7 linked regions of the Ovis aries genome follow. The protein of the gene in region 3 interacts with the protein of the main gene of each other region in a pairwise test. Links are inferred from orthologs where the notes say so. Each region holds a gene or a part of one and is shown on either strand. Other genes may lie near its edges.

Region 1 (3,202 bases), on a different chromosome or scaffold from region 3:
ATTGGGTGGTTTCCATCATTTTGGTATTATGCATAATGCTGTTATGAATATCCATGTACAAGTTTCTGGGTGGATATATATTTTCTCTTCTCAAGGCACATACCTAGGAGTAGAATTGCTGAATCACACAGTAATTCTATGTTTAATTTTTGAGGAGCAGCCAAACTCTTTTCCATGGTGGCGCACCATCTTACATTCTCACCAGTAGTAAATGAAAGCTCCAATTTCTCACTAACACTTGTTATTTTACATGAAAAACATTATTGTAGCCATTCTAGGCTGTGTCCATCTTTGTCATGTAAGGAAACAACTATCATTGTGCAAAGAGCACAGATCTAGGCAGAAATCCAGCTCCACCACTAACATGCAGTGTGAATCAGGCATGTTCCTGGACCTCTTAGAGACTTAGTTTCTTTCTGTGTAAGATGGAGCTAATAATCTATGCCTGATACAGACTCTAGAACACATGAAGCTCAGTGGGTAGCTATTATTTTCCACTAGAATGTAAGCTTAAGCAAGGCAGGGATTTGGTCTGTTAGGCACGTCTTAGTAGTATCCCATATGCCCAGAGCAATGAGTGGCCTGTAGACAATACAGAATATCTGTGGAATGAATGAATGGAGAACTTTCTCAGCAGGCAGGCTTCTGCGGAAATGAACGGTCTCATTAGTGAGGACCCTGTCATGAGAGATGTTGAGCCCTGATCTGGATAAACACTGAGTTGTCGCTGTGTGTAGGCCCCACAGAGAGATAGTAATAGGAGAGCTGTCCCATCTTCAATGCGCAAAGGCTATAAGAGTTGTGGGGACACTAACCTCCAAACCCGGCCTGCAGACTCCTGGCAGAGTGGGTGGAAGGGGTGTCAGGAGGAGATGATGGTCAGCCAAGGGGGTAGGGGCTGGAGCTGGAGCCCCCCTGGGGCAGGTGTGGCCCTTGACCCCAGTGAAGCCAGCCTGTCTGGGCCTTCTCCCAGGTGCTGCCCGACCGAGAGGGGAAGCGTTGCATGTTCTGTGTGAAGACTGCCTCCCGCACCTATGAGATGAGCGCCTCCGACACGCGCCAGCGCCAGGAGTGGACAGCTGGTGAGTGCTCGCGGGGTGGCCTGGACCTGGCTGGGCCCCAGTCGCCTCATCGGTGAAAAGAGAGTGAGAGCCCTTTGCCCAGCAGGAGGCCGGAGGCTGGATAGGAGCCACTCCAAAGGCCCCTTTCTGGCGGTGGGCCCCCCGGAGGCCCCCCTGTCCTCGGCTAGCCCCTCCCGCTCCCTCCGCAGCCATCCAGACGGCGATCCGGCTTCAGGCCGAGGGGAAGACGTCGCTGCACAAGGACCTGAAGCAGAAGCGGCGCGAGCAGCGGGAGCAGCGAGAGAGGCGCCGGGCTGCCAAGGAGGAGGAGATGCTGCGACTGCAGCAGCTGCAGGAAGAGAAGGAGAGGAAGCTTCAGGAGCTGGAGCTGCTGCAAGAGGCGCAGCGGCAGGCGGAGCGCCTGATGCAGGAGGAGGAGGAGCGGCGCCGCAACCAGCACCGGGAGCTCCAGCAGGCGCTTGAGGTCCAGCTGCGCGAGGCAGAGCAGGTATGGCTGCACCCGGGCAGAGGAGGTGGGCCGAGGGTTGAGGCCCCCGCCAGGAGCTGAGCGCCGCGGGGCGGGGCCTGGGCTGGGGGCGGAGCCACGCACTGAGGGATGAGCGTGGAGGTGGGGCTTGTCTTGAGTGATTTTGGCGGGGGACAGAGATAGGTATGGGATGGGGACAGGGCCTATAGGGTAAGGGACTTGGCAGAAGGATGGCTTGAGAGGAGAGATGGTGTGGGGCGGGGCCCGAGCCTACGAATTGGGAAGGATGGAGTGGAGAGATAGGTGTAGAGTGAAGCCAGGTTGGGAGACCTGGCTGGCGGGCGGGACCTTGACAGAGGAGCTGCTAAAGACCTTGTGTCTGGGGATGAATTTGGACCGAGGCTGGACTATGTGGGACCTGACTTGATCTGAATTTATAACGAGGCCAGTCTGGAGAAGGTAGGATGGGAGGAAGGCGGGATGAACCTGGAGACGGACTAGAGATGTAGAGGCAATTAGATTTAAGATTTAAGAGATCTAGATCTGGAGTCGAGACACTGTGGGTTCCATACCAACTCTGCCTCTTAGGAACCCTGTGATCTCAGGTAAGTTACTTGGCCTTTCTGTGCCTCAGTTACCTGTGACATGTTGATGCCAATAGAACTTGGTTTATAGAGCTGTGGAAAGGAGGATCAACTAAGGAAATACTTTTGAGTTATAATTGCTCTCACAATTATAATTATAGTCATTCCCTTGCTACCACTAGTCTAATTATAATTATGAAACATTATATTACAATGTATAATAATAACTATTAAGGCTGGTGCTAAAAAGGGAATGACTTGAGCCCCTTTCCCCCATGTGGTTCACTGATCCTCATCAGACTTAGTCAGGTTTTCAGAAGGGGATCAGATCAGGAAAATCTGACCTGAAGGAACTCCCCAGACCCTCATCCAGAGATAACTAGCTGGGCTGGCCTCACAAAGCCCTGGGGAAAGGGCAGCATACCGGCAGCCTTCCTCTGCCGGGCCCCTGCTAACCTGGCTCCCTGTCCCCCATTCAGGCCCGGGCCTCCATGCAGGCTGAGATGGAGCTGAAGAAGGAGGAGGCTGCCCGGCAGCAGCAGCGCATCAAGGAGCTGGAGGAGATGCAGCAGCGGCTCCAGGAGGCCCTGCAGCTGGAGGTGAAAGCTCGGCAGGACGAGGAGGCCGTGCGCCTCGCTCAGACCAGGTAGAAAGGTGGCCCCTCCCTGACGCCCCCACCCTCCCACCTGTCGAGCACCTGTGAGGTGCCTCAGCCTTGGAGGTGACACAGTGGATACCCCGCAGACTGCTAGAGGAGGAGGAGGAGAAGCTGAAGCAGCTGCTGCAGCTGAAGGAGGAACAGGAGCGCTACATTGAGCGGGCGCAGCAGGAGAAGCAGGAGCTGCAGCAGGAGATGGCCCTGCAGAGCCGCTCTCTGCAGCAGGCCCAGCAGCAGCTGGAGGAGGTGCGGCAGAACCGGCAGAGGGCCGACGAGGACGTGGAGGTGAGGCCTGGGGTGGAACAGGTCGCAGGTGGCGGGGTGAGCCGCGGCACAGGCTCTGGAACCTTCCCTGGAGCTCTATCGCTCAGGCCCTACCATCACCTGACTGTGTGGCCTCTGACAAATGGCC
Region 2 (4,710 bases), on a different chromosome or scaffold from region 3:
GTGGTGGTGTTGAAACTCAAAACACCCTCCATAAAAGGGAGAGGGAAAAAAAAAAAAAAGAATTGAAAGTGATCTCTGAAATTGACACAGATCCAAACTAGGGCTCTGCACCTGGGGGGACATATGACTTCATCTGCTCCATCCCTAAGATCTCCCCTGTTTCGAAGGTCAAGCATGCTTGCTTTTTCAGAACTGACACGAAAGAACTTTCTAAAACAAACAAATCACCACCATCTGTTTGCTTTCTGCCTGATAAGGAATTGTCAGCCTTACGTCTGAGAGAGAAGACACACTCTCTAGTCCCAGCACTGCCCCTAGCTTACTGGGCAACTTCAAGGAATCTCCCAACTTCAAGAATCTCCCAGCTGCCTCATCTGCCAAAGAATTTGATCGGTCACTTTCGTCATTATCTCTTGACTTTCTGCTGTCTTAGATGAGGTCCAGCTCACCTCAACCATCTCTCCTCCTCTTAAAGCTGTGTCACCACAGGACATGGTAGTGAAGGTCACAGATCACCGTGTCTCTTGGGATGACTTATTTAATGTCTCAGGTCTCTGTTCCCTTCTTCATAAAATGAGGGTAAGAGGCCAGTGTATCATTGGGCTGATAGAAGGATTATATGAGTTCATGAAGATAAAATATTTACAACAGTACTTGGCACAGATAAGGGCTCCACTACTCTGTTGTTAGGTATTAATGATGATTATTATTATTTACTTTATTGGATAACTTTGTAGTGTAGTGTTAAAGTGTTAAATGAAATATACTATTGATAAATCAAGAAATAGAAGTATAAGCATTATTTGGGGCTAAAAAAGGCTCCAGTGGGTAGGATAAGAGAAGCTGGAATATTACTTTTTCTTTTTACCTTTTTAAATTTATTATTATTATTTGCACCATGCTACATAGCTTGGTGACTTGTGGGATTTTAGCTTCCCAACCAGGAGCCAAACCCAGCCCTTGGCAGAGAAAGTTCAGAATTCCGACCACTAGACCACCAGGTTATTTCTACTTTCCTTTTTTTTTTTAAGCCCTCCTGTCCTTTGATTTTTCAAGGATGTGTCTGGACTACGACAACACTGTTGTTTTGTTTCGTTTTTTTAATTTCATCAGATTGAGCAAACAGATCGCTCAAGTCCGTCTCAAATCTCATAGTTCAAGGACTGGCTGATTTTATAGAGCAGTACTTTTTAGGTGACCCGTTTATCTTTGTGTTCACAGCTACCTTAATACGTTTGAACTTTTCAGGAAATCCTCATAAAGGTTTGAAATAAACACAATCACCTTGGCATGTTCATAACTTGAGTGTGTTTCAATTTCCGGGAAAGGACAGAAAATGAGGAAGGGGAAGTATAAACTTGGTCGGTACTTAACCTTAGAGGCAATTGACTTGTATTTTACCCGCTTGTAATCTTTTCCCTGAAATCGACTCCCACAAAGGAAGGATGATTGGTAGCAGAGCGTGAGAGCGCAAAGGGCAGAACGGCGGTGAAAGCGTTAACCGGGCTGGGTAAGGCGATCCCTGAAATGAGTTAAGACTCGAGCTAAAGTTTTCAAAGCGGCGGCAGCAGCAGCTCCAGGGGAAACGGAAGCCGGTGGAGGGAGCCTGGCGGAGCATCGAGGACAGTGCTGAGCTGAACTCAGACCCGGGTGGCCAGCTCAAGGTTAGTGGCCCCCACCCCGCACACCTCCGCGTGCTGACATCTTTGGAGCTGTCTCCGGAGGGCGGGCGCCTTCTCCCAGCCTGGCTTGTCCTGTCTGCCTGTCTACACCAGTGGGGCCACTGGCTCGTGCCAACCCTCCGGCTAGCGTTCCCCTAAGCCCTGGAGCTGAGAGGGACCGGGACCTGTTCCCAAGCCACTTTCCTTAAGAGGGGGACTTCTCAGACACCCACAAGGAGACTGTTCAGAATACACACACACACACGCGCGCGCACACACACACACGTACACACACACACACACACACACCCCTGTATTGGCTGCCCCATCTTGGTTCTTGCAGGCTGTGACCACAATCCCAAATTCCTATCTGCTTCAGTTGAAACAGAACAGTTGTCAAAGTAACAAAACAGGCTGTGCAACTTTATCTATGGGAGGGATGGTGTCTCTGAGGCTAAGATAATCAAGGTAAGAAGGCGAAAAAAAGAGGAACGAAAAGAAAGAAAAAACTTTCAAGCTCCACAGCCTGGAGTTGAGGCAAAACAATTTTTGAAAATTAGGTTCTCGTAGAAATTGTACATTGCTAGAACAAAATAAAGGGGGAAGATGTACTGTGAAGGATAGAATTCTACAACTACGGGAGATTCCCATACACTTATGTAAACAGCTTGTTATCAGTGTGATGCAGAGAACAGATACACTTAAAGAAGAGAAAGAGAGAAAATAGCTTCAGGGAAATTACATCCTGAGGGGCCTTTCATTTGAGATCCAGACGGACTGCTGGAAAGCTTCCTCCTTGGAGCCCCGGGTCAGTTCTGTCTCCCTTCTCTCGCCTTGCTCACGGAGAGGCAATGAGTAAGTTAGTCCGGCAAGCAGTCAGAAGCTGTATTAGCTGCTCCCTCGCATCCTCCAGCAGGCAGGAGTCGAGGTCTCTACCTGCTAGCACTGAATCAGAATGAGTCATCTGAAACTTGGGTGCGGAAACAAAGTCCCTGCGAACCGCCTTATGAGGCTCTGCCTCCTGTAGGTGGGATATACCTCTGAAGGCAATCACAATTTTTTCCGTCTTCCTTTCTCCTTCAGACAAGCGGGCATCCTGACGCTCTCAAGAAGCCCCGTCTCTACCCCCACTGGCTCAGCTGACCAGACCATGTGGACTCTGCCCCTCCAGGTCAGGACTGGAGTTTTAAAATAAAATGGATGACGTGACGTTACTTGATCTTCTGGAGTGTCCCGTGTGCCTTGAAAAGCTCGATGTCACCGCCAAAGTTCTCCCTTGCCAGCACACCTTCTGCAAGCCATGTCTCCAGAGGATTTTCAAGGCCCACAAGGAGCTGAGGTGCCCCGAGTGCAGGACCCTGGTGTTCTGCAGCATCGAGGCGCTGCCAGCCAACCTGCTGCTCGTGCGCCTCCTGGACGGCGTGCGGGCCGGACAGGGCTCGGGGAGAGGGGGGTCCTTCCGCCGGCCTGGCGTGCTGACCCCGCAGGACGGCAGGAGGAGCAGGACTCACCCCAGAGGTCCGCAGTGCAGTCCTTTCCGGCTGGTGCCTAACGTCAGAATCCACATGGATGGGGTAAGAAAGATCTCATCTGTTCCTTCGTGTTTCCTTGGAGGTTGGGTTTGTGCGCGCCAGCAGCTGGGGCTTCTCTTCTTTTAGCTCTGTTTCAAAGAGCCGCTGCCGAGGATTCCCTGAGGATAAGTTTCTGTGGGTGGTGATTGTCGTACTGAGACTCAGTGGAACCCTGAGCCTATCCAGTCCAATCAGGAACTTTTAAAATTCTTAAAGCTACCCAGGTCCTCCCTGCTTCTGGTCCAGAAGGTGGTAGAACATGGAAAGCCTTCTTGACTGTTTATTTATTTGTTTATTTTTTACTACACTGGGTCTTTCTTGTGGTGTGCAGGCTTTTCATTGCAGTGGCTGCTCTTGTTTGGAAGCACAGGCTTAGAGCCTGCGTCAGTAGTTGTGGTACACAGCCTAGTTACTACTGCCATGTGGGATCTTCCAGGACCAGGGATCCAACCCGTATTCCCTGAATTGGCAAGCAGATTCTGAACCACTGGACCACCTGGGAAGTCCTTTGATTATATTCTTGGTCTTTCATTTCTGCTGTTCTGAGGCCAAACCAGGGCATGGGAAATGCACAGAGGATGAGAAAAAGAAAAACAAATCCAACTGCTTGTCACTTTTGCAATCTCAGAGAAGTTACTAAATGTCAGGTTTTGTTTGCATTTTACCCAAATCCATCTTGCCACTCCCAGTCATAAAGTGCCATGATGACAATGCTCATTCACAATCACTCAAAGTTATCAAGACACTGGACGCACAAAGTTCGATCAGGAAGGAAGCATCTATGTGGGTGGAGTGATTGACAGGAAAGGCTGGGCTGTGAAGTACAACCGACATGTACAGAAGCCCCAAAGATGTGTCTTACTTTACAAAATGAATAAACCATACAGAAAATGCACATCAGAGCCTGCCATGAAAAATGAAGCGCCCCAGGTGAGCCACAGGAGATCACCCAGTAATGCATTTTGTGTTTGGACAACGTGAATCGTCCTGTCCAGCCTTGTGGGCACATCCTCGGGACTTTATATGACCTGCCTGTGAGCCTCATTCTGGGAAGCTGGGGAAGGGGATAACTCAAGAGAAGATCATGGTCCTGTGGCTCCAAGAGGATTATTGGCTGTCATCCCCAGAGTCAGTGTGTCTAAGTGGGCGTGGCACACCATGGGTGGGTGGTTGGCATACTCAGAAATTCTGTGAACTGCCACATAAAGCAAGCTTTAACCCTGGCAGTTAACCAGGACTTTAACCATGACTCCCTGCTGTGAAGAGTAGCAGAGGGTGGGAGGGTCTTCCCCGGACTCCTTCCCAACGAAGGACAATAGGCTCGGGAGTGCATTCAGGACAAGTTTCCAAAATATTCTTCTCAACAGCCTATTACTCCTTGGGCTCCCTGCACCCTTAAGCCACCCATGCAGCAGGGTAGTGTGGAAACTTTCCAAAAGGAGAGCAGGAAGAAACCAGGCTTCAGTGAGATTTCTTCA
Region 3 (3,451 bases):
CAGACCACACGAATGAAAGCAACCTGTTTCCTTGTCAGCTGGTACCTGCACCTGCCTTATTCCCTGTCTAGCAGTCTTCACCTCACACTGGACTGCTTTATTCCTTGTGCTACCTTTTCCTCACGTCTAAACTGTCGCCACGACCTTAAAAAAATAGGGCACGAATAAGGTTGAGTGGGTGTCGAGCGTTGGATCATCAAGTATTCTCCAGCTTAGATGTAGTGGTGTTCCTGGTGGGCCACAACTTCCAAATGGTGGTTTTAAGTACCTACCCATGCAGGCACTTCCTCACAGCCACTCAGCTGTGTCTTGAGATGAACCTGTTGGGTAGCAGCAATCAAAATTCACCCGGCAGCAATCAAAAAGGATTTATATCTAAATTATAGATTCTCTAAAGCAGTCATTTTGATACTTTTTTAAAAAGCAGCAAAATCTTTTCTGGAATTATATCCAACTCCCCAAATATAAAAAGTACAAAATCAGATACCCTGGTTTCCCCCATTAGAATTAGGACTCTGCAATAACAGATTGGATACAGTAATTTAAAATATTCCATCTTTGCCTCACTTCCCCTGTTGCCTAGGAGGAGCATTACTTTTCAGAATCATCCCATGATGCTGAAGCAATGATAAAAACTCTAATTTATTGAGCCTTTAGTATAGGCATAATGTCAGTTGCATTTTTTTAGTCATAACCTTGCAGGTAGATGCTGTTATCACCTTTTATTCTGATGGGAAACTAAGGCTTCAGCAAGCACTCTCGGGAGTGGTGAAGCTGTGATTCATCTCAGATTTGTCTCACCCTAGACCTCTACCTCTAACAGCTCTAGGCCCCGCCTATACAACACCTAGCACACAGTAGGTGCTCTGTAAAAACATATGTAACTTTACATACGCTCAACATTATCTTCAGTTTTTACACATGAGGAAACTGAGGCGCCTGTAAGTTCAGACAGAACTGGGATTCAAACTTCCTATGTAATGCTGGCCTTAATCACATTCATATCCACTATGCCATGCTGCCTCCACTTACCCTCTGAAGGTTCTCAAACTGTATTGCATTCAAGGTCTGCATGGCCTTCAGTTTGTTAAGATTTTCTTGTTAAAAGGGAATGGTGACATGCATTAGAATGCTGCCAAATTTTTCTGTTCATCATATAAAATTTCCGATATTACACTGCTCTATCTGTAACTTTTACATAGGCATGCTGTCCTCTCCGTAATGTGTTACAGGGACTATTTGTAAACTCAGATGGGAGTCCTTGAAAAGTAAAGGGTGACAGATAATGTTAGTCTCTAATGCCCACACAGGGAACATTTAACAGGGAATTGAGTTAAAACTCCATCACCAGGAAGTCCCTGGTGGCCCAGTGGTTAGTACTCAGCACTTCCAATGCAGGGGCATGGGCTCAATCCCTGGTTGAGGAACTAAGATCCCCACAAGCCACGTGGCAAAAAAAAAAAAAAGTCAAACTGGGGCCCAGAATTATTCTGGGAAATAGCTTGGGCAGGTTTCCAGGAATAAAGCACAGTCAGAGGCTTTCTCTGCAGTCCCCACACCCATGTTGAGCCTGGGAGCCCTGGTGCCACTGGGTAGCTTGCAGGACCTGGTTACAGTTTATAATGAGCCTGCCCACCTGGTTCCAAGAAGAAAGCTGGACTGAAGAGATAAGAGCTGCAGGCCTCCCGCCCTGTGTGGAGGCGGCTGTTAAGGTCTGAGGGAGCTCTCTAGGCTTCCTGGAGAGAGACAGCAGTTGGAAGAGACAAAGGCTGGGAAAAAGGGGAATAACCTTTGTTCTGCGGAAGTCTTGGGGAAGGAAACATTCACCTCCCTCTACCCTCTCCGGATCAAAACCAAGGGGAACTCCATTCATCCCAGATCATTGACCCATCTCATCCTAATGAGACTTAGAAAAAAATTAAACTCAGTCACCTTCCCGCAACACTCCACCACCAAGAAAAGAAGAAAAGAAAAGGGAGCTGGGTAGAGGGACAGTGCTGTTCTACCTTCTGTACCTTCTAGATTCTCACACTTTGTATTCCTAATCTTCCACATTTTAGAGATAATCTAGAGATAACTCAAGAAATAGTCTGTTAGGAGCTAAAGTGTTCTGAGATTACATACATCTCTTTGGGTTTTCTAGGTGAATCTTCATTCTGTCACTCTTGTTGCATGAACTTAGAGGGTGAAGTGAATTTGAAGGGGAAAGATAAAGGCTCTAAGGATGTTTTCCTTTTTTTTAACCTCAGAAGTCAGATAATCATCTTGGTGACAACACTCACTATTTTTGTGACTTGGAATAATTTAACTTCTCTGGACTTTGGTTTTTTCATACCTATAGGGGGAATTATAGCAGGCTCTGATGATTTATAAGGTTATGAAAATTAAATGAGAAATTGTTAAACACTTTAAAAGCAATCCAGTACAGTACACATAGAAAATTGTTTTTGGAGCCCAACGTTTTGTTTGGTAGAAATTGAGCAATGGCCTGAAAGGGGAACCCCAGTGATCGAGCTGTTTCTCTTCTTATTACAGCTATCTCTGAAGGGCACAAATCAGAAAGCACCATGCCTCCTAATAAAGAGGCCAGCAGCCTTAATAGCTCCCCTGCGGGCCTCATCTGCCTCCCTCCAATCTCTGAGGAACTACAGCTTGTGTGGACCCAAGCAGCCCAGACCAGTGAGCTGGACAGCAATGAACACTTGCTCCAAACCTTCAGCTACTTCCCCTACCCCAGTTTAGCAGACATTGCCCTTCTTTGCCTGCGCTATGGGCTGCAGATGGAGAAAGTCAAGACTTGGTTCATGGCCCAGCGCCTTCGCTGTGGCATTAGCTGGTCATCTGAAGAAATTGAAGAGACTCGAGCCCGAGTAGTCTACCATCGGGACCAACTCCATTTCAAATCCCTTCTCTCTTTTACTCATCATGCAGGGCGGCCCCCAGAGGAAGTGCCTCCTTCTCCTGTGCCACCTCCGGAACAAGTTGGTCTTGGAATAGTGCCCCTGACTCTTAGCGAGCCCACCCAGATGAAAGGATTGAAGGTAGAGCCTGAGGAGCCACTGAATCACCAGAAAGCAAAGGAGACCCTGATGGTACCTGGCAGTGGAGCATTCCCCCATCAATCGCAATTTTGGCAGGATCATCAATGCAGTGGCCTCTCCAAGGAGCAGGCAGGCAGGTGTCCCGACCAGTCACACAGCCTAGGTACTGCCTCCTGGAACCATGCCACAGCTGTCCACCAGCCCCATGCTCGGGATAAGCCCGAATCCATCTCATTACTTGCCAGTAGTTGTAAGAAGGAGTCAGCATCTAATGTGACTCCTCCTTCCTCTACCTCTTCTTCCTCTTTCCAGGGACTGGCTAATGGAGCTCCTGCCACCTCTAAGTCCCTCCAGCCACTGGGCTGTGCCCCACAACCACTGTCACCCAATGAACAGGCACTACCCCCACA
Region 4 (4,150 bases), on a different chromosome or scaffold from region 3:
CGGGCCTGCAAACCCCTTGAACCCTCTTCCCTGGGCTCGCATCTCCTTATCACCTGCTGCCAGCCTCCCACAGGCACCTCTGCTGGCAACACACGGTTTATCACTAAACTCAGCTTTCATAGCATACGGATAGACACATTTAGACTTCAGTGGTAGGGATGGGCCACCACCCCACACACATACACACAAGCCACATGGTGGGAAAGGACTCAGCAGACCCCATTCATACTGGCCCAGAGCGTGGGCCAATCCAGCACGGGCCAAGAGACATCCCTAGGAGCTGGGGGTTACCACCCGTCTGCCTTCCTGCTGCCTCTATTCCTAATCAGCTCACTTGAAACATCCATTTAAAAGAAATGCTTACACTGTATCTGCTGTGAAAAAGGAAGACACAAGATGACTTGTATCAATATTCCCTAAATGTACCTCATCCCAAGAATAAACCAGAAATGTTAAGTATAGCTTTGCTATAATGCTTGGTTTAAAAATGCAGAATGGTCCAACCTGGTTGATGTGACTTGAGAATAATGCAGATGTTGCCCTTGATAAACACTGAATGAATGCAGAAAGCATACCCAGGTTAGCAGAGCCACGGGGGACTCTCAGACGTCTACCAGCCAGCTTAGCTCACCTGCATGCTTCCCATATCCTAACTTCAAGTAACACCCTTAACCGCTCCACCACAGCACAAGCCACCATCCTCTCGACAGCTACGTCCCTGAGCGCTCCAGGTCTTCTCAAGGCAAGTTCAGTTCAGTCGCTAAGTCGTGTCTGGGTCTTTTCAAGGCAAGTTCAGTTCAGTTCAGTCGCCAAGTCAGGTCCGACTCTTGGCAACCCCAGGGACTGCAGCACATTAGGATCCCCTGTCCTTCACTATCTTCCGGAGTTTGCTCACAGAGCACCATATCAGTAAATTTATACTTTCCTTAACCACTGAACCTGTGCAAAACTGTGCTTCCACTGTTTCCATAATTGGGACCTCCTGTTTTATCTGGGGGGGTCATTGATAAAGTTTAAGTGTTGTGTCTCTAACCCCATTTTCCCCATCAGCTCTAGGGTCTTTATCATGCAGGTTTGTACAGCATGATGGTTTTTAGAAACACACATCAGTTCCCTCCCAAGACCTAGAGTCTTGCAGGATCAGAATCTCTAGGGAGAGGATCTGGGACAAGAATCCAAGATTGTTAATAAAGATTTAGGTACATTTCCTACGCTCAAGGGTGTTTGGGAGTTCCTGGCATGTTAGTGTGGCCCCAACCACAAATTAATTTTCCTCAAAGCAATGAGTCCCTTGGACAGCAAGGAGATCAAACCAGTCAATCCTAAAGGAAATCAACCCTTAACATTCATTGGAAAGACTGATGCTGAAGCTGAAGCTCCAATACTTTGACCACCTGATAGGAAGAGCTGACTCATTAGAAAAGATCCTGATGCTGGGAAAGATGGAAGGCAGGAGGAGAAGGGGATGACAGAAGATGAGATGGCTGGATGGTGCCACCGACTCAATGGACATGAGTTTGAGCAAGCTCTAGGAGGTGGTGAAGGACAGGGAAGTCTGGCATGCTGCAGTCCATGGGGCCACAAAGAGTGGGAATATGACTTAGTGACTGAACAACAACAAAGCAATGAAAAACTAACAAAAAAATACCAAAATGTTAACACCTGGAGGTGACAGCACTAAGGGCCTTACACATTTTATGCAGACACGTAGTACTTTTATAACAGAAGAAGAAAATGCAGAGTGTAAGCTGCTTCCCATCTTGTGGGAAAGGCACAGCCTTTCCACACACACCACCACGTGGGACAGCCAGCAATCGCTCCATGCAGGGAAGGCAGGATTTCTACTCATCCTTTCCTATGGAGCGGAAACCCACTGTTTGAAGAAGCTTAGTAAGGCTCCCAAGGTCTCTCTGCTTCCAGTGGCTACGTGTTAGCTCAGACCCGGGCTCAGCCCCCGCCCTGGCCTCACCTCTTTCTGGGCCACCTGGAAGGGGATGGCTTTGCGCATGTGCTGCCGGGTGATGCCGCTCCAGCGCGTGCGGTAGTCCACGATGGGCATCTCAGGCCGGACGTACTTGTCGTAGAGGACCTCGCCGTAGTAACTCACCACGGAGCAGCGGGCCAGCTCGCTCACCCGCCCTCGGGGTCCCGTGCCCACCATCTCGCAGTCAATGGCCACGCACTTGCTGGGCAAGGGGCCGGCAGAGTCCCTGGGGGCTGGCTTTCTGTTGCACCCAGCACCTTCAGATTCAGCCCGCGGACGCTGCCTGGCACTGTCGGCCCCTTCTGTGCCTGGCGGGGCCCCAGGCAGCATAGGCAGAGAGGAGGGTCCTGGCTCCCGGAGTGGGCTCAGCAGCCCCTGCTCCTGCAGCAAGGCCTTCCGGGCCATGAAGCGCTGGTGCTGTCGGCTCTTCCTCTTGTGCTTCCTCCGAAGCACATCCTTGGCATTCCGGCTGGCCAGGGAAGGGCTCAGGCACTGCACTGACTCAGGAGCTTCCTGGGGTACCATCCCCATCTGTGCACCACTCAGGGCCAGGGAGGCCTGGGAGGTGATCTGCCAACAGGGCAGCAGCCTGGGAGAGAAACAGGGCAGAGGGGCAGGGTGAGGAACAGGCCCGGCCAGCCCTGCCCCCCCACCCGCTCCCTCCAGCCAGTGCGCAACTGCTGTACAGTGTCTCAAGACCCCAGACAAAGCCAAGGACCTGCTTTAATGATAACTGCACTCATAGGGTCAACATCACCTGCAAAATCACTGTCTTAAGTACTTTACATGGAATCACTCAATCTTTCCCACAACTCAGAAAGGTATTATTATCCCCATGTTGTAGGTGCGAAAGGTGAGGCATGAAGGCTTAGTAATTCATCCAATTAATAAACAGACAAAGGCTGATGTGAACCCAGAACCCAGGCTTTCAAATTCCACACCATAGCCTACCTCCAACATTGTTAGCTTAAACTAAAAATTATGAAAAACTTTTAGAGAGGTTTAAGAGAAAATAAACAAAATGAGAAAATAAAGATTACAGAGATGTTACATATATACGAAATCCCATTTTGGATAAACAAACAAAAGCTTTATGCAGTGTAAAGGTAGAACCTTTCCTACCCACAGTAGAACCTAGAGAAACTATCTCACAGGAAGCCCACAACAGTTGTATTTTTGATATGTGTTAACCAAAATGACATATCTATCAACTGACTTTCTAATTCACTCGTCATAACACTGTCTACAAACATTTAACATAGTTGGACTTTGTAGTGTAATCATGGAGGCCTACAGGCATAGGTGTGTGCTGGTAAACCAGCTCAAATCTAAACAGGAGAAACAGAAAAGAGCCCTGATGTACAGTGCTGTAGACTTCCGTGGTCCCTCCTCCACGCTCTCCATGCCTGAACGCTGGGTTGACAGGAGATGCTGTCACACACCATGGTCACAGGAAACAGCTGTTTGCTCCTGTGGGTTTACAAACCCCATGCAAAGACTGGCATCTTCCAAATCGTCAAGGATGCAGCTTGGGAAGCCTCATCTCATTTGCTGTGCTAAGTCATAAGTCAGCTGGTAGATTTTGAACAGACCACAAAACCAGCGCTTTGAAGTAGTCAGAGCAGGGACTAACTCAGCTCAGAATAAGTACCTAACCAATTCAGGTTCTTTGCATGTAAACCCACCCTTCCCTTGTGAATAGGAAATGGTAAAATCCATGTGTATTTTTAAAAATTATTATTATTTTAAAAGTTACTGGAGTATAACTGATTTACAGTGTTGCTATTAACTTCAGCTGTATAACAAAGTGATCAGTTACACACACAAATATTCCTTTTCATGTGCTTTTCCATTATGATTTATCACAGGATATTGAATATAGTTCCCTGCGCTATACAGGGGGCTTCCCCAGTGGGTCAGTGATTAAAAAAAATCCACCTGCAATGCAGGAGGCGAGGGTTCTATCCCTTGGTCCTGAAGATCCCCTGGAGGAGGGCATGGCAACCCACTCCAGTATTATTGCCAGGAAAATCCCATGGACAGAGGAACCTGGCGTGCTGTAGTCCATGGGGTCACAAAGAGTTGGACATGACTGAGCATCTAAGCAGCAGCAGCAGTGCTATCTATACTTGTTTATCCATCCTATTTGTAATAATTTGCATTTGC
Region 5 (4,150 bases), on a different chromosome or scaffold from region 3:
ACTGCTCTGTACAACTACCTCTAAACTGCCCACCCCTCCTATAGTCGAGCCACTTCACACCCGTTAGCCAAGTTACAGAAGAGCAGGCTATCGTGAGTGCAAATCCAGCTCTCCCTGCCTAGAGGCCTTCAGTGACTCCATCACCTCCAGGATAAACAAATAAAAAGCCGTCCACGTAGTGAACGAGCACCCCCAGCCCCGCTCTGCTTCCCTCCAGCCCCAGCCGTTGCCACCCTCCGAATGCTCGCTCTCTCAGCAGCACAGAGCTTCTGTGGTTTCTCCGCAAGCGCCCCAGCCGTCACCTGCCTGCTTGCACTGCCCCTCCTGCCTCCCTTCTCGCTGTCCAGCTCTGCTGTCTGTCAGCGCCACCTTGGGAGTCACCCTTCAAGGAAGCCCTTCTGTTACCCTCCCCTTGACTCCCATCAGGCCCTGCACTCATCTGTGTCACCGCCCGCCTTATAGTCGTATCATTATCCGCACGTGCGTCTGTGACCCTGTGGAGAACAGAGACTGTCCCTGATTCATCCCCTTACCCCTCAACCCCCCATTCCCCCCGCCACAGTATATAGCACAGTGTCCAGTAGTTTAAAAGTATTCAGTTTCTTAAATCAGCTGTTTGTTGAGTAATGGCCAAGGACGATTGTAGGGGAGAGTTTCTGTCCTGCCCACCAGATAAACCTCCACCTCACCAGCCTCTCTGTCTTTTGCACAGTGGGACCCTGCTCGGCTGAACGAATCTACCACCTTCGTGTTGGGATCTCGAGCCAACAAGTAAGTCTGTACGGAGTTGGTGCTGAGGGAGGGGCCCTGAGGGGTCCCCCTGAGCACCACGCCTGCTGGGATCCTCACCACTCATCTGTTGCCTTGCAGGGCCCTGGGGATGGGGGGCACCCGAGGGAGGATCTACATCAAACACCCACACCTCTTTAAGGTACGTGAGTGCCAGGAGTCGGGCCAACCCTGGCCATGGAGTAGACGGCGCTGCGAACTCTCCATGGCCCAGAGGAACCTGGAGTAAACCCTGACCCAGGAGCCAGGGCAGCAGGGTTCTAGTGGCCCCTCTGCCCTTAACCTTTCCTTTTTGTAATTGACTCAGTGCCTCTGTGCCTCATAACATAGCTCCTGTCCTCGTCTCTTTGCTGTGTGTCTAACATGGTTCTAAGTGCTTCGCTTACGTTACCTCTTGGACATGAGTCAGGATTCTGTCTTCTGCAGATCCTGAGCTCTTAACCACTGCTGTATTCAGTTGTCTGCGAAATAAAGAGATCGCAATGGAGCAGCAGTTCTAACGTTTTCCAAAGAGGGGACTCCTCGTCTGAGCTATGCTTTGGTCTCCACTATTTGAGAAAATAATGGAGCGGGGAGGGCATGAATTCATGCTCTTAGATAAGTTTGTATTTTATCAGTCACAGAAGCATCCAAATATATTAGAAGAAAGGTAACATGCACGTGTTCAGGTTAATGGTTTTTGCACCTCTGTGCAAGACTCGGTGTCCCTTGTCAGAACAGCTCCTTGGGGTCTCAGAATCAGGGGCTCTGGCCGCTACATTTGGTGCAAGGTCAAGTTCTTTAAAGGGCAAAGCTACTTCTGTCTTATCAGTCTTATGTTCTGGGATTTTCAACCTATGTTTCGGCCTGCGTGCTGCTACTTCATTTTCCTCCCTTAGTGTCTCCACTCCTGCTGTTCCCTTTGATGACCTTCCCCCGCCACCCCCACCCTTTTCTCTGCCTGACTGTTCTGTTAGATCCACCTTGTCCAAGACCCTCGCTGGCATCATTGCCAAATGGATATGCTCTTAGACCTCCTTCCAGGTCCTTTTGTGCAGTGGTTAAGAGTATCATCTCAGTCCCGATTCCATTACTTACTAGCACGTGACCTTGGGCAAGTGGCTCCACATTTCTGAGCCTGTTTTGTCCTCTGTAAAATGAGAAGGATGCAAACCAGCCTTTTATGGTTGGTAGAATTAAGAGAGAATGTAGTGAAACAGCCTTTTTTGTAGTAACTTTTCCTTTTAATACTTATTTGGCTGTATTGGGTCTTAGTTGTGACTCACAGGCTTAGTTCCCTGACCAGGGATCAAATCCACATCCCCTGCATTGGAAGGCAGATTCTTAACCATTGGACCACCAGGGAAGTCAGTAGTAATAACTTTAAAAGGAGTATAGTCTATAAAAACATTGAATCATTGTATTGTACAATTGTACAATTGTATTGAAATTAATACAATATCATGAATCAGCTATACTTCAAAAAAAAAAATGGACTTCCTCTATTAAAAAAGAGAGAGAGAGAGAGATAAAGCACAATAAAGCCCCCAGACAATGCCAGCATAGCAAGGGCTCAGTAAATTGTCAGCATTACCAGCATATTTTCCCAGTTCTTAGACCCATTGTTGGTAATAAACTCATGGCCAGTAGATACTCTCTCTTACATTAGTCTCTTCAGAATAATAAGTAGAGGGGAAAGTTTTTTGGTTTTTTACTTTTAATTCTTTACTGGTGTTGATAAGCATCTTTTCATCCATTTAGAGTTTTTGTGTTTCTTCTATAAACTGCCCGTTATACCTTTTTACTCATTCTTCTGTCCTTCTAAAGGCATTTTGCAAATTTCCTTTTTGTTTTTAACTTTTTAAAATTATAGAAATAATATATAAACCCATTCTTGTAGAAAGATTCAAAGAATGCTCTAAAGCTAATGGGGAACAAGGCACCAAGCTCCGCTTCCCTCTTGACTCTGACTCTTCTCCCCTAGAGGTTACCCCCAGCAGCATGGTAGCATTTTCAGTCCCATGTGTGTCTATGTGTCCTTGTCCTTTAATGATGTTTTGTTTATGTTATTGGTCTTATCCTATATATATTGCTCTAAGTTTTTTTTCACCCCAAAATTTGTTCATTCATTCATTCAAATATCTATTGAGTACTGAGCAGTCTCAGACTGCAGAGATACAGCAGTGGGCAAAACAGACACACACAGCTCCTTGCCCTCACAGAGCTTACAGTCTAATGTAGAGCAAGCTGTATACCCTGGAGCCAAATCCAGCGTAGCCTTGTTTTTGTCCAACGCAGAGTGATGACATTTTTTAAGGGTAATTTAAAAAGAAAAAATAAAGATTATGTGACCAGGAAAGCCTAAAGTATTTATGGAAAAAGTGTGCTGACCACTATAAATCTAGGGAATAAGACCTTAAGGGATTCGTCCATGTTATTAAGTCCCCCTCATTTTACTTTTTTTTTTTTTTTCAAGATTTATTTTTGACTGTGCTGGGTCTTTGTTGCTGCACAGGCTCTTCTCTGTTTTCGGAGAGCCCCTCCTTAGGGTCTGCTCTCTGGTTGGGATGCACCAGCTTCTCACTCCACGGGCTTCTCTTGTTGCCGAGCTCAGGCTCTGGGACACACGGGCTTCAGTAGTTGCGGCTCCTGAGCTCACTAGTTGCAGCTCCCAGGCTTTAGAGCACAAGCTCAGTAGCTGTGGCGCGTGGGCTCAGTCGCTCCTCGGCATGTGAGGTCTTCCCAGATCAGGGATGGAACCTGCATCCCTTGCACTGACAGGCGGACTCTTCACCACAGAGCCACCAGGGAAGCCCTTCTTTTTTTTTTTTAATTTTATTTATTTATTTTTTTGGCTTCATTGGGTCTGTGTCCAGCCTTCTCTAGTTGCGGCAAGCAGGGTCTACTCTTAGTTGTGGTGTGTGAGCTTCCCTCGAGGCGGAGCGCCAGCTCCAGGTGCTCGGCCTTCAGTAGTTGCTGGATGTGCGCACAGTAGTTGGGGCACGCAGGTTTAGTTTCTCCCCGGCATGTAGGATCTTCACCGACCAGGACTGAACCCAGGTCCTCTGCATTGGCAGGCAGGTTCTAATCCACTGGACCAACAGGGATGTGCTGACTCCTTTAATTTCAACAACAGTCCTATAAGTGTTAATACCCTCTGTTTTACAAATGAAGAAACTGAGTCTCAAAGAAATCATTGCCTCGATTTACACCACCTAATAAGTAGAAGAAACCAAGATTTATGAACCAGGTTTTTTTTTCTTTTCTTTCTTGTTTTTTTTAACCTGCCACCCCTAAAAGCCCACCAGGCCAAATTGGCCACCTGCGCATATGCTCATCTCCAACTTTCCCCACCACACGTGCTCCCTATGGGCTGAGCTCT
Region 6 (4,767 bases), on a different chromosome or scaffold from region 3:
CAGTTTGAGTTATTACCTTTCTAAGTGTTCCAAACTTCTATTTTTAAAAAAAATTTAAAAAGTGTTGTAAACTTCTGACAGCTCAGCATTTTTTGGCAAAAGCACCAAATGAGTTATCCCACCATCACGATGATGCCCACACTTAATTCCTGCTGCTCTGGAGCTTAGAACCCTGAGGACAGAGCCCATGCTGGGTCCTGCCAAGGCCAAGCTTGGGGAGAGGGAAGGAAGAAGTCGAATTTCAACAAGGTTTCTCTCTGGAGCTGAGATGCCTGATGGCCTCTTGGCCCTGCCTGTGATCACTGGAGGAGGAGCTCAGTTGGGAAGTTTCATTCTGAACCTGATGAAACTCAAGAGATTATCAGTTGCCTAGAGGAATGGCAGATGAGCTGGGAGCTCCCTAAGGCTGTAGGTTTGAAAGTTAACCCCCGAAAATCAGACCGGAAATATACAAAAAAATGATTGAGCCTCTCTAAAAAAGAAAGGTACATATTAATGAAAACAAATGGGCCAATATTGTTTTGGGTATATAACTGTTGGAGGTTAGAACATGCCAGATAAGGACAAACATGGATAAGTTAGAAAGGTAGTGATGTTAGATAAATGAACAGATAGATGACTGCATTTTAGGAAACAGCAGAAATGCAATGTGCACAGAAAACTGCACCAGATAAAGACTGAGAAAGAGATGTTGGGTTTCAGACAGAGAATGTCCTTGGTGAGTTTACAAAGACCCAGAGAAGGAAGAGGAGTTCAACTCTCCATTCAGTGAAGGTTACAAAGCAGAGGAGTAGCAAAAAACTGGGTCAATATTGTTATACCTATTTTGAGTAAACTAATTTAGAACTGGGCCAGACCATTTACTATAAACTCTGCTTTCCTTCTTAGGAAGACAAAGTTTTCACAAAACAACAGACTGAGGAAGCTTCTTTCTCAAGGATGTAGAACAGGTGGCTGTCTCTGACACCCTGACCTTGGACTGATGGTGGCTCAGTGCCCTGATCCCCTCCAGCCACTGACCACTGAGTGCTTCCTACTGCCTGGAAGTATGCCAGGGACTTCCAGAGGAGCTGGGCAAATATTATCTCCATGTTGGATAGATTTTAGATAGGGTAAGAAACTCTTGTTCCACAGTTGAAGAACCAGACAGTCAAACACTCAACTGGGACTTCAAAGATATACTGGCTCCAGGACCCTCCTTGGGTACTTGTGTTGGGAAAGAGGCATTCATTCAGTGACATCATCTTGTCACCTGGGGTAAACTACGATTGCTTTAATATAATGAGAGGCCAGGAGCCTAAGGAAGACCCTCATTAACATGGATCCGGCCTATTCCACCAGGATATCAGAATCATTTGAATAGTAGGATTTCCTTTGGGGAAGCCACGTGGGGGGAGATTGATGACAGACATCTGGATACATGTGCCTGTTTAAGGAACCCTGTGTCTTGCCCCTCCTCTTGGGTTTCAGTCTTCCAAGTGTGTTTACAGGTAAGCATGTGGCCAGGCGGCCCGACGGTCCCACCACCAGTGACAACTCCTGGGACCTACATTCCTGCAGTTCCACCCAGGATTTCGCCCTGTGGGCGGGTTTGAGCTGGACACAGAGGGAGGAACAGACATTGTGGTTTCCTCTTCTGCTTTTAAGAACTGCTTCCGACGATAACGAGGGAGTCAAAAAGTGTCTGGTTGGGAAAGTAAATAGATACGAGGCAAATAAATAAAAATGCCCAGAAGCAACTACACGGAGGAAGTGACATTTTTCTGTAAGTCACTTTTCTGATGGACCGCAGGCCTGCTCCGCCGAGGGTGCCGTGGGAAGGCTTCCGGGAGAGGGGGCGGTGGCCAAGCCCCAGCGCGTCCTGATAAGAAAATCAAACAAAAAGGGGATGGACAGACCACCCGTCGGTCCTTCGAGGCCGGGCTGCTGCTGCTCTCGCCTCTCCCGTCTTCCTATTCGCTCCCGGACGCGCAGGGTCGGAGCTGGGCCTCCCCTCCCCTCGGCGCCCGGCCCGGCCCGGCCCCGCGCAGGGTCCTCCGGGCCGGGCGGCGCCCGCGTTTGAGCCTCGAGCCAGCCCCGGCGCCGCCCGAGCCGGGCCGCCGTGCGCGCCCAGGTGGGTCCCGGGCGGCGGGCGCGCGGGCCTGGGCGGCCCCGGCGGCGTCACTGGGCGGAGCGGAGGAGGACGAGGAGGAGGAGGAAGGGCGCGCGGCGGGCGCAGCCGGGAGGGGCGGGGGCGCCGCGGCGGGAGCGAGGCCGGAGCCGAGCGGGCCGGCGGGCGCTGGGCTCGGCGGCGGGGGTCGGCCGGGCCCGCGGGGTCCGCCCGGGCCGGAGCGTCGGCCGAGCGGCGGGAGGAGCGAGCGGCGCAGACAAAGAGCGGCGCCTGGGCGGGCGCAGGGCGGCCGCCGCCCGGGACCCGCGCCGCTGCCCCGGCCTCGGCGCGCGGCGCGCGAGGTAAGCGGGGGCCGGGGGCTGGGGCCCGAGGGTCGGGGCTCAGGGGCTGGGGCCCGGGCGGAGGCCGTCAACTTGGGCGGCTCGCGGAGTTGCGGGGCAGCCGGGGCGGGGCGCGCCGGGGCCGGAGCCGGGGCTGGGGGCCCGGTCGCTTGCGCGGCCTGGCCTCGCGGCTGCGGGCACCTCCGGCTCGCCCCCTCCCCGGGTCGGGCGGGCGGGGCAGGCCTGCGCGGTGGTCCCGGAGCGGGGACCGGGGAGGCCGGGCGCGCCGCCGGCGAGGACCGCGTGGATCGCCGGCCCCGCGCAGGCAGGACCGGGAGGCGAGCGCGGCCCGCACAACTTCTGGGATCGGGACTGTTGGCGACCCCGCGCGGAGCTGCTGTCACTTGGCGTCCGGGAGGTTTCCCGCGGCCCCTAGGCGCTTCGTGCCGGGCTCCGCGTCCGACCGGGGATCGCCGGCCCCGGAAACAAAGTTTCTCACGATCGCGCTGCCCTGGTAGCTTATTCTGGGCGATCGAACCACCCAGCGGTTCTGGAAGAATTCGGTGTGTGATTGTAGGCGTAGACGGTAACTCCCTCGTGAGCGCATTCGGCGTGGAGCGAGTGGGGGGCGTGATTGCAAAGCGCTTTCGTGTGTGGACCGTGGCGGTCGCCCTGAAAGGGCTGCGCGTGTGCCGGGGCTCTGGGCTCACTGGCAGCTCGTCCGCGTGGGGACAAAGCTGGAGCCGGCGCGGGGCGACCTCTGGCACTCAGGCTAGGTCGGGTCCCCTGTGTTTGCCTTTGTTTATTTTGCCAACAGGTTTGGGGCTGAGCCTGGCAAGTTTGGGTATGCGCAGGGGATGAGCAGGCCTCAGCGCTGGGCCCGCGCAGGCCCACTCCTGCCCTTGACCCCAAAGAAAGTGAACCCCGAGAGGCTACGGGGTGTGGCCTGGGGTGGGAACCCCGAGGTAGCAGAGTCCCGCCTGGTCCCTGCCCGGCTTCCTCCTCGGCTTCGCCAAAGGGATTTAGTAGGAATGAGAGTAATTTGAGGCGTGTTTTGTCCCTCTGCATCAGGTATCGTTGGCAACAGGGCTTTTCAAGGCTAAAAGAGACTGAAAATGAAATCACTCTGGTGCTTTGAGTTATCACAGCGGACCTAAACTTTATTTCCAAACACTACCCGTAATTCACTTACCGGGTGTCCCCAGATATTAATAAACGGGTAAATTAATAACAGGAATCGAGCCTGGGCCAAGGGTTTAGTAAATAGGAGGGCAGTGGTGCACAGGAGATGAAGTGGGTTCAACTGCGAGACTGAGCTGTCCATGTAGGTTTTTAGGTGGTCGGAACAGGGGTTTCCCCAGATGTGAGTGTTAACCATGATTCTGAAGCAGTGACCGGGAGGGAAAATCCTACATTGATGTTTCTCCTCTCCAGGTTGATTAGATGTAGTGTTAATTGAGGGAGAATGCAAATGGCAACCCACTCCAATACTCTTGCCTGGAGAATCCCAGGGACAGAGGAGCCTGGTGGCCTGCCGTCTCTGGGGTTGCACAGAGTCAGACACGACTGAAGCAACTTAGCAGCAGCAGCAGCAGCAGCAGCATTGACTGAACAAAGTTGCCAGATTTTAGCGGTCCTCTGGCTGCAGCTAGCTGAGGCTGAAATTGGAAACTTAAAGCGGTGGTAAGCTGGTGGTACCAAAGAGGCCTCATCTGGGCTTCAAGCTTCTCAGCTGCTCCCTAGACACGCTGCGGGATTGCTCCTGGAACATGGGATGAAGTCGGGTGGTGAATTGCGTCCAGAGAACAGACTGACCCAGTACCTTCTCTCCCCACTTAATGTGGGGCCTGATTAAGGTGATTTCAAGTAGCTGTGCTCACTTGTCAGACTTTGAGGTTTTCTTTATCACATGCCTTGCACTTCAGGTCTCTTCATCCCTCCTCTCTTGGAAGCTGTGATGTTTCCCAGCCTCTGTTGTTTGCATCAAGCGATGACTGAGATTTTCCAGCAAATGCATCATATGTACACGGTATTTGAGAAGTGCGCTATTATCCATGTTAAACATACCCAAAATCTTTCTTGTGTGTATACAAACTGAATAACTTTTTAATTTTTTTACTTTTCATTGCTCTGGGCCTCTCTTGCCACCCACTGCTTCCTCTTGTTGCGGAGCATGGGCTCTAGGCACACAGGCTTCGGTAGTTACTGTATGTGGGCTCAGTAGTTGCCGCTCCTGGGCTGTAGAGCACAGGCTCAGTAGTTGTGGCACGTGAGCTTAGTTGCTCCACGGCATGTAGGATCTTCCTGAACCAGGGATCAAACCTGTGTTTCCTACAT
Region 7 (4,816 bases), on a different chromosome or scaffold from region 3:
GATCTACTACCTTTGAGCTTGACTCAAAGTTGACTCTTGCACTTTTCTTCTGCGGTCTTGAAGTCTGGAAAGTGCCTCTTATCCAGAACTGCCTGGAAGACCCACCACAGGACTCACTACCTTCGGAAGTGCCTGTAATCCAGCTGCAGTAAACCATCAAAAGTTCATAGGAGAGCCAGCTGGAAAAGCCGAATTCTTTTCCTTGGTTTCAGGTCTGATTAGACCCAGTTTCAGCCTTGTGACCTGTATTTAGGTTTGTGGTGTTTACAGCTCTCCAACATGTTTACTTCCAAACGCGACCATCCTTTCTTGATGGGAACAGTGGCCACCGAAGTCCAGTGTTTTATTCCATGAAACTGGTTCGGATCGGTTGAATTCGATCCAGTGAAACCAACAGACCCTCCCACCAGAGACAGATGAGATTCTGGCCTTTATTAAGCATACATGGTGAACACCTAGTCCTGGCTGTACTTGGCAACCCTCCTTCTGTTTTGATTCCCACTCCTCCCAACATGTGTGTACTTTTGACCTACTCTGAGCCGGAGTGAGTGAAGTTGCTCAGTCGTGTCCGACTCTTTGCGATCCCATAGACTGTAGCCTGCCAGGCTCCTCCGGCCATGGAATTTTCCAGGCAAAAGTACTGGAGTGGGTTGCCATTTCCTTCTCCAGGGGATCAGACGCTTTACCATCTGAGCCACCAGGGAAGCCCACTCTGAGCTCGACTCCTGATCTATTCGAGCGACCTTGTCCTGTCTACAAATGGACAGGCAATAAGATGACTTTAACCCAGAAGCAGCACCTCAGCAAGGGAAATGAAAACATCAGAAGCCAAACTGATGTAAGGTGTGGCGGCGGCGGTGGTTAGGAGACTGAGTCCCACTGAGGCGGGTTGCACGCCCCCCAGGAGGCGCAGGTGGGCCCCACCCCAGCCCCGCGGGGCCGCGCACGCCGGCCGGAGGGAGGGGCCAGATGAGGACCAAAAGTCTCCAAGCGCAGCTCTTCCTTAGGAGCGGGAGCTGTTCTGAGTGAACCTCCGGCCGTGCCCTCCTCCAGGGGATCCTCCCGACCCAGGGATCCAACCAGAGGCTTCTGTGTCTCCTGCAGGCAGATTCATTACCGCTGAGCAACTGGGAAGTTCTATCATCAGATACCCACCCAAAATAAGTTTCTGTTTTACGACAATCTCTCCTCTTTTTCTGAAGCTCTCTTCCCCAGGGTCTCTTTGTCCTTTCAGGTCCAAGAGATTTCCTGGACAAAAACACGTCCAGGTCTTCACAGTTGAAAAAAATATTTTCCTGGAAGATGGCGTATGACTGCAATGCCGCCTGAATCTCCCAAAGGACCCCTCCTAAGGAGGCCGCCATCTTCCGTGCAGCATCGGAGTTTGCGCATGCGCCCCTGCTTGCCGTACAGCGGAAGAGACTTTTTTTGTCCTCTCGGCACCCTTACGTCGCAGAGTGGCGGTGTCGAGGTTTGCGCGACGAAAGGTTTTTGTCAGACGTGGGAAGAGGCGAGAGAATTGTTGCACTGCCTAGGGGTTTTCAAGTTTAGGGCTGGGGGTGGTGATTGTTGCTCGAAAGCTCCGAGGTGCTCGGGTGAATACGGTCCCCCGCTTTCCTGGAAGAGGCTGGAACGCGCTTGGCGGTGTGTTTTTGGTATAAGTGGGCACGTTTTGATGCTGGGTTTAGGAGGCCCTAAAGCATCATTGGGGCTTCCCTAGTAAACTCAGACGGTAAAGCATCCGCCTGCAATGCAGGAGACCCGGGTTTGATCCCTGAATTGGGAAGATTCCCCCGGAGAAGGAAATGGCAACCCACTCCAGTATCCTTGCCTGGAAAGCCCCATGGATAGAGAAGCCAGGCCTAAGTCGATGGGGTCACAAAGAGTCGGACACGACTGAACGACTAACACAAAGCATCAGTGGAAAGAACTTCGTGCTTTCGCTTCAATCTCTTTAAAAGGTTTTTAGAGAGGTGGAACGCCTAGATTTTAGTCTGGTATAGGTTCTGCCACCCACCTATTGTGTGTCCTTAGGCTCCTCCCCAAGCCTCAACATCCTCATCTGTAAATTGAAGGGCATACAAGAGTCCTTAAGTCACTTTTCAGTCTTTAGTTGCAGGTCCATTATGTCATCTGAGCCACAAAGACTTGGGGGTTAATATCATGGCCTCATTTTAGAAGAAAGACATTGAGTCCCAGGGTGCACAGAAAACCATTGAAGGGTTTCAGACCTTGAGACTGAAAGATTATGCTGTAACTCCATGATCAGGCCTCCTTTGTGTATTTCTGGATCACCTGAAACTGGCCTATAGCAGTTACTAAAGTTTTGAATGGGTGGATGAATGAATTTTCATCTCCAGGCCAATGACCCAAGCAGATCTGGTCTCTCTCTGCCTCTCCCATGTATTAACAAGTATAACTCTTCCCCAGGTGTATCCTGTGTGTTACCTGACTGGGGATTCCAAATCTAGTTCTGTCGTTTTCAACTTAAACAGATAAACATGGAGGCACCTCCAGTCACCATGATGCCTGTCACCGGGGGCACCATTAACATGATGGAGTACCTGCTGCAGGGTAAGTGAACTAGGGAGCTTGAATTACCTGTTTTCCTGTTTTCTGTTCCGCTTTCCATGGAGATGAGAGGCTGTTATATAAAAGCTACCTGCATAATTTCTGGCACCCTTTTATTCCCCAATTTACTTTTAATTATGGTCACAAATACATAACATTAAGTTTACCATATTAAACATTTTTAAGCATACAGTTCAGTAATGTTAAGTATTTCACATTGTTGTATAGCTAATCTCTAGAACTTTTTCATCTTGCAGAATTGAAATTCTATTCCTGTTAAACACTAATTCCTCCTTTCCCCTTGCCGTAGGCCTTGGCAACAACCTTTCTACTTGATGTTTCTAATTTTGACAACGTTAGATAACCTCATAGGAGTGGAAGCATTCAGTATGTGTCTTTTTATGACTGGCTTATTTCACTTAGTATAATATCCTCAACATTAACCCTTTCGCATGTAAGAGAATCTCCTTTTAAAAATCTGAATAATGTTCCACTGTATGTACATACCATATTTTCTTTATTCGTTTGTCTGTCAGACATTTGGATTGCTTCTACCCAAATTGTTATCATAGATAATACTCAGTGAACATGAGTGTGCACATACCTCTTCAAGATCCTGCTTTGGATTCTTTAGGAGTGAATGCCCAGAAGTGAGATTAATAGATCATATGGTAATGTTATGATACTGTTATTAGTTCCATCTTCTAGATCAGGAAATAGAAGTGAAGTAACTTTCCCAGATGAGAAAGCTCAAGACCAGGGAGGGTTATGATTTTCTGGAGGTCATTTAATCTTTAGTGGAAGAATTTAGACTTTAATTCAGATCATCCGTTTAGTAACTTACAATGGACAAAATAAAATTGTTAATTGCACTCCTCAATCTGCCTCTACTTCAGCCTTTCCCATCTCAGTAAGTGCCGCTGTCAGTCATCAGTTGCTTAAGCCATGCATTCAGGAATCAATCTCAGAGAAAAGAAAATAGAGTCTATGGGGTTGCACAGAGTCGGGCACAACTGAAGCGACTTAGCAGCAGCAGCAGCATGGCATGCAGGATCTTAGCTCCTGAACCAGGGATGAAACCTGGGTCCCCTGCATTGGGAGCACCAAGTCCTAACCACTGGATGACCAGGGAATTCCTGTGAACAGTCAGCCTAGATTTCTAGATCTAGTCATCTAGATGTCTGTTTCTGACCTTTTGCCATATTTGCTCTATCTTTTTCCTTTTGCCGTTTTTGAAGACAGATTCAGATCTCGTAACATTTTACCCCCAAACACTTTCAGTATTCATCTCTAAAAAAGCAAGCGTATTTTCCTTAATAACCCCAATACTATCATTATTACCTGAAAGAGTCATAGTATATTTCTGATATCATCTAATATATAATTCATATTCAGAAGTTTCCTCCATCTTGTGTTTTGATCCAGGGCATAATATCATCTCATGCATTACATATGAAAACCGTGTCTCTTAAGCCTTTTTTAACTTGGACCCGCCTCCCCTCATTGCCACTTTTTTTCATGTGACCCTGTCTGGTTGAAGCATCCATACCAATTTTCCTAGAATGATCTTTTTAAAATGTAAATCCAGTCATATCTTTCCTTGTTGCATGGAGAATAAAGTGTGGAGCTAATAACTGCCCAGTGGCCGTACAATAAAATACAGCCTTTAGCATGGGCGACACATAAGTCCTGCCTGCTTTGGCCCATCCCAAATGCTCATTTCATGATCATCTTCCATCTTGCTTACCATACTTCAGCCACACTTTCATTTCTTTGGATTCCCCAAGCTCTTTGCTACCTCTGATCCCCCGGCGTCTATACTTTGTTCCAGCCCTTCACATAGCCATCTCATATTTATTCCTCAGGCCTCAACTCAGTTGTCATTCCCTTAGAGATCTTCTCTGACTATTCCAAGCCCTCAAAGAGGTCTCCTCTTCTCCACCCATACTGGTTGCTCTCTATTCAACACCCCGTTTATCTCTTGTTTATTGGTTTACTTATTTTTTTCATTTCCCCCACTAAACTATAATCTCTGGGCAGGCCAGGCCCCCTACTTCTTAGCATGGTGCCATTCAGTAAGTGTAAGTGTATGAACCAGCACTTAACAAAGCTCCTTAAATGTTTGAAGAATGAAAAAACACATGGCTGACACTGTTCTGAATGTAGGACCTACTCCCTACTCTTGTGATCTTCTGTCCTTTGATAACTGGGACCCACTCTGTTGCTTTTCCAAAAATTTAGTCAT

Evidence for each region.
Region 1: the proteins of HOMEZ (region 3) and DEF6 interact in binary tests that used the Homo sapiens proteins (3 or more experiments, as listed by UniProt). The two-hybrid records come from large-scale screens. The link is inferred for Ovis aries from reciprocal best matches to the Homo sapiens genes HOMEZ and DEF6.
Region 2: the proteins of HOMEZ (region 3) and SH3RF2 interact in a two-hybrid assay, tested with the Homo sapiens proteins (2 studies listed by BioGRID). The two-hybrid records come from large-scale screens. The link is inferred for Ovis aries from reciprocal best matches to the Homo sapiens genes HOMEZ and SH3RF2.
Region 4: the proteins of HOMEZ (region 3) and AEN interact in binary tests that used the Homo sapiens proteins (3 or more experiments, as listed by UniProt). The two-hybrid records come from large-scale screens. The link is inferred for Ovis aries from reciprocal best matches to the Homo sapiens genes HOMEZ and AEN.
Region 5: the proteins of HOMEZ (region 3) and DNTTIP1 interact in binary tests that used the Homo sapiens proteins (3 or more experiments, as listed by UniProt). The two-hybrid records come from large-scale screens. The link is inferred for Ovis aries from reciprocal best matches to the Homo sapiens genes HOMEZ and DNTTIP1.
Region 6: the proteins of HOMEZ (region 3) and NCK2 interact in binary tests that used the Homo sapiens proteins (3 or more experiments, as listed by UniProt). The two-hybrid records come from large-scale screens. The link is inferred for Ovis aries from reciprocal best matches to the Homo sapiens genes HOMEZ and NCK2.
Region 7: the proteins of HOMEZ (region 3) and MED18 interact in binary tests that used the Homo sapiens proteins (3 or more experiments, as listed by UniProt). The two-hybrid records come from large-scale screens. The link is inferred for Ovis aries from reciprocal best matches to the Homo sapiens genes HOMEZ and MED18.

Annotation. Positions count from the first base shown.
Region 1 is NC_056073.1:9,420,930-9,424,131, forward strand, and holds part of DEF6 (differentially expressed in FDCP 6 homolog), read left to right. Parts: intron 1-973; coding exon 974-1,082; intron 1,083-1,270; coding exon 1,271-1,569; intron 1,570-2,611; coding exon 2,612-2,778; intron 2,779-2,876; coding exon 2,877-3,075; intron 3,076-3,202.
Region 2 is NC_056058.1:54,887,947-54,892,656, forward strand, and holds the start of SH3RF2 (E3 ubiquitin-protein ligase SH3RF2), read left to right. Parts: upstream 1-1,582; 5' UTR 1,583-1,664; intron 1,665-2,744; 5' UTR 2,745-2,857; coding exon 2,858-3,235; intron 3,236-4,710. UniProt on the Homo sapiens protein: Has E3 ubiquitin-protein ligase activity. Acts as an anti-apoptotic regulator of the JNK pathway by ubiquitinating and promoting the degradation of SH3RF1, a scaffold protein that is required for pro-apoptotic JNK activation.
Region 3 is NC_056060.1:21,432,154-21,435,604, forward strand, and holds part of HOMEZ (homeobox and leucine zipper protein Homez), read left to right. Parts: intron 1-2,535; coding exon 2,536-3,451. UniProt on the Homo sapiens protein: May function as a transcriptional regulator.
Region 4 is NC_056071.1:18,981,472-18,985,621, reverse strand, and holds part of AEN (apoptosis-enhancing nuclease), read right to left. Parts: intron 2,574-4,150; coding exon 1,970-2,573; intron 1-1,969. UniProt on the Homo sapiens protein: Exonuclease with activity against single- and double-stranded DNA and RNA. Mediates p53-induced apoptosis.
Region 5 is NC_056066.1:74,556,105-74,560,254, forward strand, and holds part of DNTTIP1 (deoxynucleotidyltransferase terminal-interacting protein 1), read left to right. Parts: intron 1-712; coding exon 713-771; intron 772-870; coding exon 871-931; intron 932-4,150. UniProt on the Homo sapiens protein: Increases DNTT terminal deoxynucleotidyltransferase activity (in vitro). Also acts as a transcriptional regulator, binding to the consensus sequence 5'-GNTGCATG-3' following an AT-tract.
Region 6 is NC_056056.1:60,724,857-60,729,623, forward strand, and holds the start of NCK2 (cytoplasmic protein NCK2), read left to right. Parts: upstream 1-1,644; 5' UTR 1,645-1,765; intron 1,766-1,894; exon of another isoform or gene 1,895-2,113; intron 2,114-2,243; exon of another isoform or gene 2,244-2,451; intron 2,452-4,767. UniProt on the Homo sapiens protein: Adapter protein which associates with tyrosine-phosphorylated growth factor receptors or their cellular substrates. Maintains low levels of EIF2S1 phosphorylation by promoting its dephosphorylation by PP1.
Region 7 is NC_056055.1:238,803,241-238,808,056, reverse strand, and holds the start of MED18 (mediator of RNA polymerase II transcription subunit 18), read left to right. Parts: upstream 1-1,496; 5' UTR 1,497-1,644; exon of another isoform or gene 1,645-1,655; intron 1,656-2,430; exon of another isoform or gene 2,431-2,495; 5' UTR 2,496-2,501; coding exon 2,502-2,574; intron 2,575-4,816. UniProt on the Homo sapiens protein: Component of the Mediator complex, a coactivator involved in the regulated transcription of nearly all RNA polymerase II-dependent genes.